Coturnix japonica: one gene and its partners. The protein of the gene in region 2 purifies or fractionates together with the protein of the main gene of each other region. This does not show direct contact. Links are inferred from orthologs where the notes say so. Each region holds a gene or a part of one and is shown on either strand. Other genes may lie near its edges. The genes, in order: Sjoegren syndrome nuclear autoantigen 1 homolog, CHCHD4 and GFER.

Region 1 (6,014 bases), on a different chromosome or scaffold from region 2:
TACTAAATTATTTTTACTAAAATAGCAACTTAAACCTTTAAGATTGTCAATCTCTAGAACTCTAGAATATGGTTTTATCTTATTGAACGTTGCAGTATGCAGAACTCTCATACCTGTAAAAATAAGACAGCTAACAGGTGTTACAATGCCTGCTTCCAAGCAAACATGGCTTTTGGTTTCACAGCAGTCTTCCGAGCATCAAAGAACATCGCTCAACGCAATGCTCCCTTCACCTGAGTGACAACTGTTTAATTTTATGAGGAAACAGTAATCGCTTAAAGAAAGGTTAATTAAAGACAACTCACCACCATCCCTCTCTCTAACTCTGTGAGTATGCACACTTTTTGCTTTACTGTGCCCTGTGTTGTCACTGTATTTGTTTTCAGGGCTATCAGAGCGCCGCAACATTTTATTTGGTGGTGAAGGATCTGTGGTGTCTCGCATCTTGTCATGACGATGATCACCACCACTTGGGTGACTCTTGGATGAGTACTTAAGAGCCTGAAAAAGATCACAAGAAAACAGGCATTTTCATCAGATATAGATACAGAAAGAACATTTTAACATCAGTCATAAATTTCAGATCTTTCTTCTAAAACACTTTTTGAAGTAATTAATTTTTATTTCCCATTTAAATAACCACTATTCATCCTCTTAGTTTTAATTACCTACATTAGAGCAACAAGTTCTGTAATTAGGACTGAAACCATTTGCTCTCACCACGACATCCAACATAACATTTGCTGTTAAGATAAGCCTAATTTCTTCCTATTTTCTCAGTGAAGGACTGCATACTTTAAACGGTAAGTGGGGCACAAAACCTCTGACACTCAAAACAAGCACAAGTGCAGCTGGTACTAAAGAAATAAAGAGACAGTTATATTGAAACAGAGTGAACTGTAAATATCCATACTGTAATGGAGGCCACTTCCTTTTGCATCAACGTTAAGCTTCTGCAGATAGACTTCAGTACTAGCAAGCCCATAACAGATACAATAAAAATCTAGAATTTGGGGGGGTATTTAAGAGGGCAGAACATAATGTGACAATTCATTTTGGAACATTTACCAAAACTAACAAGTTATGTCTCTTTTTGATCTGCTTGATTTTGCAGAGCGAGCTCATGAGTGGCAAGTGTTTTATATTACATGAACTGTCACTGACAGCTGCCTCGGACCATCAGATGACACTTCACAGTGATAGAAACACTCAGAAATGTAATAAAATGGTTTAGTTAAATGCCCTAAGAAGAGCAGTATCCCTACACACAGCGTTCCCCAGACTCACACCCTCCTTAAGGTATAATTTTATTTTTCTTATTTTTATTCTTTCGTATTTCTCATAGGCATTAGACTACGGGACTCATCATACTTAAATTGAAGTTACTGTCAAAAGCCAGAGGATCTGATGTTTTTGAACACCCCCAGCAGCTGGCAACTGTAGAGACTGGCAACTGTGGAGACGAAGCCCTACTGACAACCCCAGTTCAGGGTCTAAAATCATGCCCTGCTCAGGTTACAGCCCGCAGCAGCAGTTTTGGGGAGAAGGGCCTCGGGGAGGGGGGCGGGGGGCGAACAAGCCGCCTTTTGTTTTTAGGAGGACAACGTTCCCCTTCCCCCGGCTCTCGGCTCCTCCGCCCGTGACCCGGCCGCGCTCTCCCGCCCCTGTGCTCGCACCTCCCGTCTGCTAGGCCCCGGCCCCGCGCTAGGCCTCTCCTACCGGCCCGGCCATCGCAGCGGCGCGGCGGCTCCGTTCCCCCGGCTGCGGGCCGGAGCCTGTTCCCTTCCCCACCTCTCGGGCCTTACAAGGCACCGCGGGCCGGGCGGGAGCCGCGCGGGGCAGCGCGGCCTGCGGCGGCGGCCGAAGCCTGGGCTGGAGTAGCTCCCCCCCCACCTTCCCTGCCCTGCTCCTCCTCCTCCCGGGCCCGGCGGCCGGCGCGGCGGTACCTGGTAGGGCTGCGAGTCCCCCCTGCGGTCGTGACAGCTGCGGAGAAGGCGAGAGAAAGAGAGAGAGAGGCGTTAGTGAGGGCCGTTACCGGGCGCCGGGAAGGGGCCCAAACATGGCGGAGGCGGGGGGAGAGCCGCGGGGCCGAGGAGGGGATTTACCCATCACTGAGTCTCTGCTGTTTCCTCGCATACATTACCATCAATGCCCGGCCTGTGTGTGTGAGTGTGAGGGGACCAGGAAGGGACGGCCGCGGCCGGGCCTACGGGCGCCGAGGGGGGAGGAGGGGAGCGGCGCTCCGCCTCGCCGCCGACCGGGGGCAGGGAGGGGGCAGGGAGGGAGGGGGCGGCTCGGCAGCTGTGCTGGGAGCGGCGCTCACGGGCCCATCTCCGCCGCGCGCAGCCTGAGGGGAGACGCCGGCAGCTCGGCCCCGCTGAGGCGCTCCGGGAGCGCGGACTCCGTCGCTGCCGCCGCTGCCGCCTCCTCCCCCCGCTGCGCCCGCCGCCGCCGTCGCCGCTCCTCCAACTACATCCGGGAAACTCGGGCGACGCCGCGCTCGGTTAACGTCGGCTCTTTTCGGCTCTTTCCGACGCGCTCCGTCCCCTCTGTCCCCTTTGCTCTCGGGCGACTCTGCCTTCGGCAAACATCGGCAGTCTCCGCCGAGCCCAACGCCCTTCAGTCTCTCCCTTCGGCAAACATCGGCTCGTTCCGTAGCTCTCCCCCCCCCTCCGGCCGGCCCGCCTCGTCCTCCACTCCCGAACGCTACCTGTCTTCGGAAAACATCGGTTATTTCCGTAGAGAGGCTTTCACGCTCTCGTCGGGGTGACGCCGCCTTCGGAACCGTTCGGCTATTTCCGTGACCTGCGCGGCCGTTGGCGGGGCGCGGCCGATTGGCCGAGGGGAGCGAGCGGGGGCGGCAGCGGCAGGCAGGTGGGGGCGATGGGGGGGGACCGCGAAAGGAGCCGAGGTGGTGCGGGGGGGATAGGAAAGGGAAGGTCTCCCCTCACTCACCTCCCCCCTCCCCTTCCGCCCGGCGCCTTGATGTATAGGCAGGAGCCATTTTGTGTACGTTGGGTTCGGCGAGAGGCGCTCGGTAGGGAGTGGTTGTTAAAATGTCCCTGGGGAAGCGGCTGGCCGGGCCGCGTCCCTCCTTCCCTCTCAGCTCCCCCTGAGGCGATGGCGGAGCTCGGGCCGCCTCACGCGTGGAGGGAGCGGGTGAGCGGGACGGGCAGCGCTGCCCTGAGGAGCTGGGAGTGATCCAGCCCTGCTGGGTTGGATGGGCCCACGGGCAGCATGAGCTGCTGGGTGGGTGCTCTGCCCACGGCATGGTGTTGGGACTGATAGCCTTGAAGGGCCCCAAACCATGCAATGATACAGAGCCTGAATCTTGTCCTGCCTCCTTAATGAAAAGGGAAGTGACAAGCCCCCCTCAGAACTGGCCTGTAGCAGTACATCTTTCCCCACAATGCTGTGTTTAAACATAGCATCACACTATAACTATAGTTTTTCTCTCTGTTCTTGTTTTTGTGTTAACGTGCAGAAGGCTGCAGCTGAGAGGACACCTCAGGAAGCTCACGGACAGACAGGAGCAGAGGATGACCCAGCAGGGAGCTGTTCTTCAGGGTTACAACAATGAGCTCGTTAAGTGTATTGAAGACTTGTGTATGCAAAAAGAGGAGCTGAACAAACAGATCCAGCAAGCAGAAGAGGAGAAAAGCAGACTCCAGCATGAAATTCAAACCCTCAATGAACAGTTGGAGGGGGTGTGTGAAAACCTGGCTCAGAAGGTAGCTTCGCGGAACGAGCTCGATAAAATTCTTGCTGAAACTGAAGCTGCTTACATGAAGATTTTGGATAGTTCCAGAACTTTGCTTAGTGTCCTGAAGAAGGAAGTGGGAAGCTTAAAGCGTCCGCCAGAACTGAAAAGTAATGTAACCTGAAGCTGTTAAATGTCTGCACTTCCCAGTTCTAAAATTCCACTAGGTGAGAAGCGGTCAGACACAGCACCCTGTGACAGCACTATGAGCTGAGGGGCCTTTCTTCCAACCTTTCCACTTTCCCATAATTTTTAAATGCGTTAGAAACACTGTAGATAAAACAGATGAAATAAAGTTGCCGTTTTCTTATTAAAGAAAGTTCATAATTGCTCTTAAATCACAGCAAAACTAAACTGCAGATATGTAGCTGTCAGTTTGGACATAGTTATGCTTCAAGGCTCTTCTGAAAGACAGGAAAAATGTTTTATTGGCTGGATTTTGGCTGGTTACTGTGGAATGGCTGTTTGATAGAATGTTACTTGAAATCTGGACAGAATGCTCGCATTTTTTCCATTGCTCTTTTACCCAAAGCTGTGTTCATGGCTTCTCTGAAATCCTGCTGTCTTTCTCCCATATCCTTTTTTTCCCCTTACCTACATGTGTAGACAGAAAAGCACTGTAGAACTAATGGATGCAAGTAGCTTATACTTGTTGCTTGACTTTTAGGGACCAAGTAGGAATTAGTTTTTTAGCCTTCTTAAGGAGTCTGGACTTCTCTCCGTGATCCACGTGCAGCCCCTGTTGACAATCATCTTTCACTTAGCTGGAATTTTGGAGGAATAATTTGAGAAAATGTGATTTAAGCAGGGTATGAAAGATTAACCTCACAGACTGTGTCAGGTTTGTGTATCTTCTGAAGCTGTACTCTAAAGCCTTGAGTAGAAAGGAGTTATGCTATGGTGAGAGATGGATTTGAGTGCAAGTGGGAGGCATGACCTTGCAGGGCACAGTGCTGCAGGGAGCTGTACAATATAAATGAGGGCCATCTAATATTGCAATAAGGCTGGAAAGAATAGTGAACAACCTAGAATGGAGGGAAATAAATGCATGTGAGAGGTCAGAATTGAATTAGTAGTAAACATGCAGCTGCTCGACATTCTTGTAGGTGAGATTTAAATAGAACCCAAGTAGGAGAATGGAGAGGATGTAAGAATATAGCAGAAATCTCAGTCTCGTTTCCTATTTCTGGTAGTTAGTAAATATGTGTGTGCATGCATTTTTTCCTGCTCATTCATGTATTATGGCAGCAGCTTTATGTTTAAGTCAAGCCTTCATAACAATTCGCTAAATTGGAGGAAATGCGATTGCAATCTCTTCTCTTAATAACTGTGTCTCTCAGGTGCAAGTATAAAGAGCATGCAGATATGAATAGCTTCAGTAATAGCTCTTCACCAATAATTATAAACATTTTATGTCCTGATTGCCACGCTACATCTTCTGCAGTGGGGATTAGCGAGACCGAGCTAATCGACAATTTACTTGTATAGCTTTGCCACCAGCTTCCCCTGAGTAATGCTGAGGTAATAAAATTAGATAATCTCAGGAGTGTTGCTATTGTTGAGGTGCCACAGTATTTGTGGCAGCTCTGTTTATGCTGAAGTGAAACACAAAAGCCAAAATGTTGTTTTTCTTTTAGTAGCAAAAAGGTGATTTGGCTGGGATACCTATTGGATCCCACCTCTGTCCCCTTAGTCTGGTTACAGTAGTCATTAGTTTATATCAAAATAGGATGTCTCAGAAAAGGTACTGATTAAACAGCAAGGACTTAAAAAACAGCATGTAAACTGATTCATCTTACTGTATAAAGGGGAGTTTGAAATTGCCTACGTGAACAAACTTACATGGGAAGTTTGTTTACAGATTGGCAGAGCAGTGCAGTTAATTCCTGTTTTCTAATGACTACTGGCTTGCTTGTCTTCAAATAAGCCATAAATAATCATAAAATCATAGAATGGCCTGGGTTGAAAAGAACCACAATGATCATTGGGTTTCAACCCCCTTGCCATATGAGGGCTGGCAACCACCAGCCCAGGCTGCCCAGAGCCACATCCAGCCTGGCCTTGAATGCCTCCAGGTATGGGGCACCCGCAGCCTCCTTGGCAACCTGTTCCAGTGCATCACCACCCTCTGAGTGAAAAACTTCCTCCTAATCTCTAACCTACACCTCCTGTCTTAGTTTAAAACCATTCCCCCTTGTCCTATCACTATCCACCCTTGTAAACAGGCGTTCCCCCTCCTGTTTAAACGCTCCCT
Region 2 (4,970 bases):
AACACATTTGGAAAGTACATCATTTGTGCTGTCCTGATTTGGAAGTTAAGACTGAGAGGAGTCTGACTGTATAATTTACTACATAGTTTTCTCAGTTTACTGAATAAAATGTTTATTTACTGAAACCGCTGCCCTACTAGCTCAGTCTTTAAAAATGAATTAATATAATTAGCATATGAAATACATGGTGTATCAATCTCCGCTTTCATTCTGTTCAGCTACTTACCGTGTTCCTCATAAGGGTCATCTGGATCGTCTGCGACCAGCTCAGCACTGCTTGGTGTCTCATGGTCCTCCTTTGTCACAAAGATAATTTTGTCCTTTCCTGTTGTGTAGGAGACAATAAGCAAAAGATCAGGAAAAGCTGAGAGTAAGTAATTGACAAAGTGGCTGACCAGAACACAGTAATGAGATACTCAACATGATGCCCTGATGTTAATATTGAATGAATTCTACTTTCCTTATTGAGCATCTTCAATTACAAGTTGCTGGTTCACAGGAAAATGTGTATAAAGAGAATTGGGAAAGTATTCAAAGGGAAGGTACTGAAAGTTATAAAAGAACTGGAAATAAGGCCTAGGAGAAAATCAACCTACGCTTGAAAAGATGAGTAGTAATTTATCTAGAACAGAGAATAGAACTGAACCCATTGTCTTTGTACCACACCCATGTAACCGTAGGAAGTTATTCTCAATATTCAATAAGAACTGAAAAAGTCATAACCCACTAGAGATTTACAATAAATATTTGCATATGGCACAGTTATGCAATGCAAATAGATGCCTACAGAGACTGCACTGAAGAGAGATGTGATAAGACAGGTATTTGTTTCTAAAGGAGACCATAATCAGCATACAGGACTCACGGAAGCAGTAAAGGACTGCACACTATTTCCAAGCTGAGGCAGCATTTAACAGATGTCACAGAGAACTTGCTTTTTAACACCACCTTCTCCGCTCCTTCCCCTCTTTAACCGAGTCAGGGATCAGCACAGCACAGTGACAGGAGCTGGGTGCAAGCAACCCAAAATGAAGTACCTTAAGCAACACTGCCACTGAATATGAAGCCACAAATCCCACGTGGGTAAAAGAAACTAATTATTAAAGTCACAGCACCTTGTAGAAGAAACTAATTATTATGTTATACAGGAAGGAAGTGAGGATGAGGTGAACATAAAACAGTTTGGGAAGTCCTCTTTTAAAGCACTCATTACATAAGTAATACTCATTACCCATTTACATGTTAGAATATATAGAAACTACCAAATCCTTTCGCTCTAGAGTTCTGCTTTTCACAGCAAAGTACTGTAACAGCTGTAAATCACTGTACAGTTCACTGGATTGCAAAGTTAAAGAGCTGTTTTGAAACCATCTGAAACTACTGCTCTCTTGGGAGAACAAATTCAGCTAAAGAGGCTGGATGGAAATGGACCAAAAGTGAAAGGAAAAACTCTCCTGTGCTACAGAAAGCATTCAGCAGGATATTAATTAAGATCAGCAGCCTCCATTACAGAGTCATGTCATAGTCTATAATTATTATGTGAATTAAATACTAAAGAGCACTTTAACGGTCTAGAGCAGCCTGTGTTGAAAGGTGCTGCAAACATTAACAAGGGCAGAAAAACAGAGCGTACTTCCTGCTCTTGTGTCACTCTTGATTTAACAAAGTAGTTATGAAGGGGGAAAAAAAAAACAGGCTTGGCTGGCAACCAGGGCAAAGTTTCCCAACAACTCTGTAAGGTTGTAGAAAACTGCTTTAAGGCAGATACAGGCAGAAGAGAACATCTAACTGAAGCTTTTCTGAATGTATAACACAGCATTCACAGACTGGAATGAGCACCCCAAAGACTTCAGCTCCAAATTCAGAAAGGCCACTGCAATGACAAAGCACGTTATGAATTAGCATCTTCTTGTCCTTCAGCATGACCTCTACCAGAAAACGTTCAGTAATTCCCTTTCTTTGCATTCAGTCTCACAGAATCACAGAATGACCCAGGTTGGAAGGGACCTCAAGGATCATGTAGTTCCAACCCCCCTGCCTGGCAGGGCCACCAAACATACACCTTTACTAGATGAGGTTGCCCAGGGTCCCATCCAACCTGGTCTTGAACACTAGGTGTGAAAAGCAGATAAACCTGGATTCTTTCAAAAAGGGAAACTATTGTCAGCCGTGTGGCATTCCAGCCAACTTTACAGTGCAGAACAGCTGGGATTTCATACATGAAATGAACTAGAAGTGGATGAAATATCATCACTGCTAGCATGAAGTATAACTATAACCCCATCACCACAACTATAACATGAACTATAACTGCAGCTATCATTCATTTTGTAGGATGCCATAAGGCAATGGACAGAGCTGGTAAAAATACAAGATATCAATAAAGTGAGTTAATAATAATAAGGCAAAGAGAACCAGAAGTTATCACAGTATATAATCACTATCCAGAGTGACGAGTTTATCCTTTCAAAGCAGCACTCAGGACATTCTTTGCAGCATGAAACTCCACACCAAGGGAGGAAAGATAAATCACAATCCACAAAGGGGGAAAGATAAATGCATCCCCCAGGTTAGAAATGAAACGTGTGGTGCCCCACACCCACACAACCCGCGGCCTCCCCTCCACCCTTCGAGCGGCGCCGCCCCCGCGCCTCAGGGTGACATTGTGAGGACGCAGGCACCCACCTTCTTGCCTGCAGTAGGACATGGCGGAGCCGCCCGCTGCCTTTCACACTCAGTGCGATCGCAGACCGGCTCCGCGTCCTTCCCCTCCTCCTCCAACACCGCCGCAGCTCCACGCTGTGCCCGCTGACCTCCGGAAGAACACACACTGAACTCTAACACCAGGAAGCATACGCCCTCACATCGAGGTGGGCGCGGCTGCTGCTGAGCGGTTGTCGTTGGTGGATTCTCTGGTTTGTGAGGGAAAGAGGCCGAAGATGTCGAGGAATGTAAGTGATAAGCTCCTGTGGGGGATCCCAATAGCTGTCAGATCCCGCTTGGCTCCTCCAGAGGGGCCTCGCCTCCTCCCCTCTCTACCCGCTATTGCTGCTTGGGTATTACCCACAGCACAGAGCTGTGGTGCTCCTCACACCCTGTGTTGTTGGTGTTCTAATGTGGCAATGCTCAGCATAGCAGCAGAAGTTTGTTCTGAGAGCTCTTCTAGTCCCCCAAGGTGCAGTTATGGCAGGGTGTGCTGTGGGATTGCATTGTGGTATTTATAGCTGTGCTGTAGCTAGTCTGGAATTTGGGAGTATTACTCAGTTTGTCGCTGGGTGTGGATACCAAATAGGGAACGTAGAGACAGGCTGAAGGATGTGTGAAGGGATGTGCTTTGCCAATGCTATAGGCATTGTTTTTCTTAGTTAAGGTCTATTTACTGGCTGTATTTCTGGTATCAAAATTGGGACAAGGCATTTAGGGGGTTGGAACTACATGATCCTTGAGGTCCCTTCCAACCCGGGTCATTCTGTGATTCTGTGATTTAATAAGTGTGGGAAGGTTCAGCTCCAATGCAAGCAGTGCCGTTTAGCAGTGGTTAAGCAATTTAGCAAAGGTAAAGAGCTCCTTTTGAAACAGACCATCTGCTTTTATACCAATATTACATTTCTGGTTTACCTCCAACAGTTTTCTGACACAGGAAGCAAAAAAGAACATGTCAAAATCACCAGCGAGGCCAAGCCAGGGTTCCTGGAGAGGCTCAGCGAGACTTCTGGAGGCATGCTTATAGGACTTGGGACATTTCTTCTGTCCTTCTACCTTCTTTTTACCAATGAAGTAAGTGAAGTACTATCAAGAGTTTATATACAGCTTTAAAATGGTTGGCCAAGGTGGCATTCAACTAGTTTTGTATGTATAGGGTCAAGGAAATGGTCATGCTGTAGTTTTATTGCTTCATCAGTGTAAAGAAGGCAGCGTGTCGGGTGAGGCTGATGCTTATTCTTGGGATGTAAGAATGAAATCACAGAGTCATAGATGTTCTTGCTGTGGAACGGTGTGTAATAGAAACAGTGTCTGTGTATGGTGAGGAAAAAGATCCCAAACCTATGAGCTCCCGGTGAAAGAGGCTGTAGTGCTATAGAAAGAAGCCGAACGAGCCAGCCACGTTCAGTTCTTCTGTCTCTATCTTGAGATAACATAGGGAATTCATTTCTAGTGCTGTTAGGATTTTGTTATAGGAACTCATTCAGTGTTGCAAAAGTGAGGGTGTTAATTACTCTCGTTACTTTGTTTTGGTTTTAGACTTGGAGGAGAATGGTGAATTACAAGTGTGTTTTCAGATTATGCCTTGAGGATGAATGTCTTGAGAAGTCCTTGGGCTCTGCAGATCACTTGTCTTCTACTATTTTCATAAGATAATGATATGCCATTGATTCTCCACAGCTTGATTTTGCTTTTCGTGACTACAGGGACGAGCTTTGAGGACAGCTAAATCTCTTGATGAGGGACTTTCTCTTGTGATCCCTCTTGACAACATTCACAGGGTATCTCAACAAAATGAGGGGAGTCTGGTGCACTTAGCAGGCGTTCTGAGCACAGCAAAGGTAAGTAAAGCTAACATCTTGGATATGGGAGAATTTCAAGTTTGGAGGGATTGGAGTGTTGAAATGCTCACAGATGCCTCACTAATTCCTACTGACTTGTGTTTTCTTTGTATTTCAAATAGCCTTTGTTTGATCCCAGCTATGGGCTGTCCGTCCAGGCTGTCAAGCTTAAGCGCAAAGTGGAAATGTACCAGTGGGTTGAATATGAAGATTCCAGGTGAGTGAAACAGGTCTTTAAAAGTTGTTTATAGGAGTGTTTTATTAACAGGGTCAGTTGAAACGTGCATTCTGTATTGAGCTGGTTTGTGTGTGTGCTATTTTGCTTCTTGCTTCACTCTTTTTCTTTGCAGGGAGTATGAAGAAAATGGTGAGATCAAGAAAGAGACAAAGTACTCGTATAGTAAGTTGATCTGCAGAAAATCCTTT
Region 3 (5,936 bases), on a different chromosome or scaffold from region 2:
AGCTTGTGCCCTCACCGTATGGACTCATTCACTGAAAATGATGGTTTCAGCTTGAAGGCTCTTCCTCCTCTGCACCACTGTCAGAACAAAACAGTACCTGCTGGCAGGAGCTTTTCCTTGCACACAACTCCACCATCTCCTTGGACAACACAAGGAGACCAAGGTTCTGTGTTGCCATGGCCACTCTCACTGATTTTGAGAGGGATGCACAATTTAATTGTTTTTTTTTTTTTAACTCTCCACACTGTTAAGACATGGACAGAGCAGCAGCCCTCCTGCATGCAAGAGAGAAACTTTCTGAGCACTTTTAATAGCCCACACAACACCATGAGGTAGGAAGTCAAATTGCATATACTTCATAAAACACTCAGCACTTCTGTTGGTTTTGTGTTTAGGAACACTGACAAACAAAACTTCCCAGAATAACCAGTCCATAAAAATTTGTGTCTTACTGTTTTAACAGGTCCAACTTGAAAAGGCTTTAGGACACCATAAAACATTGAAATATATTTCCAAAGTTCTAATTGCTTTTCTAAACAGTAAGGAGTCCCACACGTGAACGTTTGGAGATCAAAGTTCTCACATATAGGCTATCGTCACCCTGATACTGTTATAAAAGTACCATTACCATGAACCTCTCATTCTATCATCAAAAGTAAATTTACATACCAACTGTAACGCATGAAACAAGGAAGCTTACTAAATCACGCAAGGAAAAGCTCTGCAGGAAGTACAGAAGGAAAAGGCCCCTATTATCATGATCTGTGAAAACTCCTGCAAACTTTCCCAGACAAAAATGCAATAAGGGCAAAATATCTCTGTATATTTTAAGAGTTTGAAAGTATTAAGACTTATTTGTGTGGCTTTGTAGAGAAATGCATTTATATTCATTGTATCATTTATGCTGCTATTTCACTTGAAACTCAAATTCACACTTATGCGTCAGTAACACTGATGCAATATAGCTGATGTAAGGAAAATGCCAATAGAACAAACCAGTTTCTACAGAGGGAATCCTTGGAGTCTTCTGTACAATAATTCTATCTAAAGCTGACATCAGTCTTAAAGAAGACTCAAATATCATAAGGGTATTTAAAGTCCTTTTGTTCCAGAGAGATTTTTATCTAGGCGAAAACACCAAAATATCAACTAAATCAATAAGTAACAATCACGAATTGCAAAACACAAATGATGCCTTAGAAACACTATATGCTAAACAAATCTGAATATGTTTCATTACAGATACCAGTCTCAGATCGTTACAGCAGTCTTTGCAATTGAAATCATAGAGATGAAAAGTTGTCAGTTTTAAAAGCAAATAGCTCAGTAGAACTTGTCAGACTGCTTCTGGATTGAAAGAAAAAGAGGAATCAATTTAAAACATCTGAATTTAACCCAGCTGATACTTCTTGATAGTTCTTTTGGTCCTGTTCTAGTCTCTTTTCTATGATACACTCTTATGTGATAAACTGAAACAGAAATAAAATGAGAAATCAAGGTTCTGTGATTTTAGCATTTAAATTAAATGTACCTGCTTTTTAGCAAGTCTAACAACAAGCATCAGAGATCTCTAAGAAAGCTTAAGGGATATAGACAGCAGGAATTTGCCCTATCAGAACAAAAGAAGTGAAAATGACAATGAAATTCCAAACACATCAGGATAGTAACTGCAAATAAACATGAAATGTCACAGGGCAGCTCTCTACAACTGCGTGCAAGGAACAGGAATTCAAGTCAAAGATACAAGCAAATGCCCCTAAAATAAGGAAATGTCATGAAACAGTATCCACGGGTTTGTTGAGTAACTCAGTTTCACTTATTTCTGGCAATTCCTGTGCCACATGTAAGGCCTCAGTTCCTCAGACAATGCATTTGATACGACCATTTATCCAGGTGCTACGAGCATAAGATTTTCAAACTGGCTTTCAGAGTTGGTTCCACCTTTATTTCCACAAGTCATCTCAGTCATGCACACACACGCTCACACATATTTACTTGCACATCTCTACACAGTGTCAAAACAGCAGAGTGAATCTGTTGGATTTCCAAAGCAGTCCCCTATGGATTAATCACAACTACCATCTTTCCAACCATCTCGCCAGCGCTCATCCACACGAGAGCAGTCAAATTCAGATTTGCCCAGTTTCCTGTTCACTTCATTGTGAAGAAGACATAACCACTGGGAGAAGTTATTTCTGTTGCTAGTATCAGGCTGATTTGTTCGCAATCTGCAAACAGGGAAGAGGAAACAAACGTTACTGCTTTAGTCACCAATTTCAATACCCAAAGCAGGTACATAGCACGCAGACAGCCAGTCTCCACTTCTGTTACCATGAGAACTCCAAATGGACCCCAAGACAGAGCACACTGTAATCATCAGAGGCCAAACATCCACACTAAAATGCCAGTGATCACAACTGACCTGGTTTCAGTCAGTTCCTAGTCTTGTCAATTGTAAAAGGCAGAGGAATCAAAAGGCTTAGCTGTGATAAACAGCAAAAAGTACTTGTGATCATCAATACATTGACTTTTTAAAAGGGTTTTACCAAAGCAATAAATGAAAACCATTAAGCAGTTCTTTTGCCAAGTGATACTTAATAATTCGGTTTCAAGCCTTTTTTGCACGTTCATTATCCAAAATAAAAGCAAAAAAAAAAAAAAAAGTTCAAATTTTTGAGAAACATGTTGACAGCGACAGAGGTAGAAAATTACCCGATACCACAGCTCATTTCAAGTGTCTGCCTCCAATGGTGGGAGGTTGTGGCTCTTCTGAGATATAAGCACACACAGAATCACAGAATGACCCGGGTTGGAAGGGACCTCAAGGATCATGTAGTTCCAACCCCCCTGCCTAGCAGGGCCACCAAACATACACATTTACTAGATCAGGTTGCCCAGAGCCCTGTCCAACCTGGTCTTGCCTACCAAAAACTGAATAATTCCAAGTCCCAGTTTATCCCACGATTGTGTGCAAGTCCAGTCTAAACCACAAGGCCATAAAATGCCTCAGGGAGGCCTTGGAGGCAGCACTGAACCCAACAGCACTAGACAAGGTATTTGTCTTCGGAATAAGTCTTTGATCTATGCAACGGAAGAAACCAGTTCAAGTGCCTATAAACCCCAACAGCAGGAAGAGCAAAGATATGCAAACACCCACAGCAGGGCAGCATTTCAGGCCCCTTCAGCAATAACAAAAAATAAAAAAAACACAGAAGAAACCGATGAGGCAACTCACCTTTCCCTCAGATCCTCAGCACACTGCTCACACGGGTAGAACTTGGAGAAGAGGCGGATGAAATCCTTCATCTCCTGTTGCTGAGTTCTTGAGGGCCGTTCGGGGTAGTATGCAGCCATGGTGTGAAGGAAGGCCCAGGTGCTGCGGCCCAGCTGCTCGCTGTCCAGGGGGCAATCAGGGGGTGGCTCCTTCTCTTCCACTGCGGCCTGAGGAGGGAGGGAGAGAGCTATAGGAGAAGGCAGCAGGGTGCAGGGATAGCAACAGCGCCCAGTGCCACACGCATGAAGGGAATAAAATAGGAGCCCCCCTGGAACCTCCAGGGATGGGAAGCGGGAGGGTGCAGCCCCACAGCCCGCCTGCCTTACCACGCCGCCCGCCTGCTGCTTCCTCTGCTCTCGGAGCCAGCTCTTGAAATCCGTACAGGCCCTACACGGCTTCTTGGGTTGTTCCTCAGCTCCGGAGCCGGCAACTCCGGGCGGAACGGTGAAAGGAAAAGCGAAAGATCCGCCTTCAGTGCCAGGGAACGATGAGGCGCCGCGGCCGGGCCTGCCCTCACTGGGCGCCGCCATCTTGGCGCCGCAGTGCACCGTGGGCCGGGGGCGGCCGTGTCGTTTGGCAGCGAGGGGGCGGTTTGGGTCTAAAAATCATGGAATTGTCCCTCGAGATTCTGACGGGGGGTTTTGTGGATGTAAATCACAAAGTTGCTTTTTTCCTTCTCTTTGGTTCAGCCCTGCTCCCATTAGGTCAGCACCGTCCTCCCCTGTCCAACAGCTGTGGTGAAGGAGCCCTCCATAAGCAGACATGGCCGCACATCTCCACACACCGATCCTTCCTGGATGTTCTGTAGTTACTTGAAATGCACCCCGAGTCTTGTCTAAGTCATTAATTTAAGTGCTGCAGGTTCTGCAGAGACACCACTTGTGTGAAAGGGGCTGGGAAAATACTGCTCATTTCCAGCTCTTACATTGTGATGTACTTAACGTGCTAAAACAATTTTGGTAGATAACACAGCAAAGAAAACGCTTCAAAGAGCTGCCCTTAGAAATAAGACTTCAAAACTTAGTGTGCTCTGCGTGGGAATGGCATTTTGTTGCAGTTATTCACGTGGGAAGGAGAAGAAACACGAGCAACTGCAGCTACTGGCTTTGTCTGAAGTCATAGACAACTATAGATACAAAGATATATCGTGCATGAAAGGGTCAACCTAGTAAAGGAAAAGATATTCTTTATATTTGTTTTCCTTTTCGCCAGTAAATATTTAAATGATGCTTTAAATTCTAAAATAAGGAGTATGCTGGTATCTAGGAGAGACACGGGGGAATTTCCTGCAGTGCTTTACTGCTCTGCCTCCTGGCAATTACGTTTTTGCAGAGACATTTATAAGTCAAAGCTGTGTCCTTGATTGGCTGTTAACGGCCTGTTTGCTTTCTTGTTAGTGTTTCCATTTATTTAGTCAGGTAAAATATCAGCAAGATGGATTTTTATTTGAAGGCAAATAGTTCATAAAGGTAAAGAAAGCTGTCACCTAAGATGCTATCTGTGCTCAGTGTTGCTCCGTCTGCCCCTTTTCTGGTCAGAGAGAGCAAGAAGAGCAGAAATGTTGCAATGCTCCTATACAAATCACAGTGAGGAATACACTTTCCTGTCTCTAAGCGCAGTCTGACCACCTCCTGCAGTGGATATGAAGCACCCTGGTACTGCCCAGGTGAGGCTTCCTCAGCCCCAGTCCAGGCATGCGATAACCTGCAGCAGGCTCTGCTAACAACACACCCATATCTTGCATGATGTAATTGTATCTGGAAGACAGGGCTCACCAAAGCCTACTGGACAGGTACATCTTCTGTACAGTCTCTCAGTGACTGGAATAGGGGATGTAATGACGCTAATTACCAGGAAGTGTTGGTAAACTCTGTGCTGGAGAAAAAAAGTAAAGGGTGTGTTTGTGTTTCTGAGTGGAAGACTGCTGTTTGATGTTCTGCTCTTATCTTGGCATTCACTAAACTGGCTCAGTAGCTGGCAGATGATAGCGAGCACACAGGGAAGGAAGCAGAAGCAGGAGCTGAGCTGTGTGTGAGGCCAAGCACGCATTCTGTTGCTCACCCTCTGGGCTGAGAGCAGCAGCAAAGTAGGAGGGGAGAACTAAGGAAGGGAGACTCTGAGGAAGGCCAAGCAGCTCTTCTCAGTGCAGTTGGGCCCCCAGCTGTGTGCATTTGGGTATGGTTATGTTGGCAGAAAACCTGCTAATTTTCACAGGTAACTGATGCAACTAACAGACAGAGGACACAGCTTTTGCTGCTACCCTAATGGCCCACTTTCTAGGATGCAAACGATATCAAAAGGTAATAGTTCAGGCCGCCTGCTGGCATGTACTTGTCTGTTACCAGATTTTGAGCTGAGAATAGGGAGTGATACTTGCAGAGGCTTTTGCTTCACTTGGGAACTTAAACATCACTGACTTTTCATGAATGTGTTTTAAGTGCTTTAGAGAATTTTCACAGAATCCCAGACTGGATGAGGCTGGAGGCATCTCTGGGTCCCTCTGGTCTTACCCTGCTTCAGAGCAGATGCCCAGCATCACATCCAGGTGGGATTGGACATCTCCAAGGAGGAGACCCCACAACCTCCCAGGGCATCCCCATGCCTCTCAGGACTTCCCCTATACCTCTCAGGACTATCACTGTGTTTTTGGGATGGTTGCGTA

What was found.
Region 1: the proteins of CHCHD4 (region 2) and Sjoegren syndrome nuclear autoantigen 1 homolog purify together in Homo sapiens (co-immunoprecipitation; 3 studies listed by BioGRID and IntAct, with this or other methods). This does not show direct contact. The link is inferred for Coturnix japonica from reciprocal best matches to the Homo sapiens genes CHCHD4 and SSNA1.
Region 3: the proteins of CHCHD4 (region 2) and GFER purify together in Homo sapiens (co-immunoprecipitation; 3 studies listed by BioGRID and IntAct, with this or other methods). This does not show direct contact. The link is inferred for Coturnix japonica from reciprocal best matches to the Homo sapiens genes CHCHD4 and GFER.

The regions. Positions count from the first base shown.
Region 1 is NC_029517.1:13,929,757-13,935,770, forward strand, and holds the start of Sjoegren syndrome nuclear autoantigen 1 homolog, read left to right. Parts: upstream 1-2,099; 5' UTR 2,100-2,105; coding exon of another isoform or gene 2,106-2,146; 5' UTR 2,147-2,148; coding exon 2,149-2,165; exon of another isoform or gene 2,166-2,261; intron 2,262-2,710; coding exon of another isoform or gene 2,711-2,727; exon of another isoform or gene 2,728-2,870; intron 2,871-2,892; exon of another isoform or gene 2,893-3,037; intron 3,038-3,069; exon of another isoform or gene 3,070-3,159; intron 3,160-3,484; coding exon 3,485-3,884; 3' UTR 3,885-3,927; exon of another isoform or gene 3,928-4,098; intron 4,099-6,014. Other genes in the region: WAC (WW domain-containing adapter protein with coiled-coil), read right to left, coding at 306-501, 1,947-1,983, 2,106-2,146. UniProt on the Homo sapiens protein: Microtubule-binding protein which stabilizes dynamic microtubules by slowing growth and shrinkage at both plus and minus ends and serves as a sensor of microtubule damage, protecting microtubules from the microtubule-severing enzyme SPAST.
Region 2 is NC_029527.1:8,345,711-8,350,680, forward strand, and holds the start of CHCHD4 (mitochondrial intermembrane space import and assembly protein 40), read right to left. Parts: upstream 2,830-4,970; 5' UTR 2,708-2,829; coding exon 2,686-2,707; intron 326-2,685; coding exon 227-325; intron 1-226. Other genes in the region: TMEM43 (transmembrane protein 43), read left to right, coding at 2,940-2,951, 3,628-3,777, 4,410-4,544, 4,667-4,761, 4,895-4,944.
Region 3 is NC_029529.1:6,124,245-6,130,180, reverse strand, and holds the start of GFER (FAD-linked sulfhydryl oxidase ALR), read right to left. Parts: upstream 3,840-5,936; 5' UTR 3,805-3,839; coding exon 3,601-3,804; intron 3,442-3,600; coding exon 3,236-3,441; intron 2,229-3,235; coding exon 2,066-2,228; 3' UTR 1-2,065.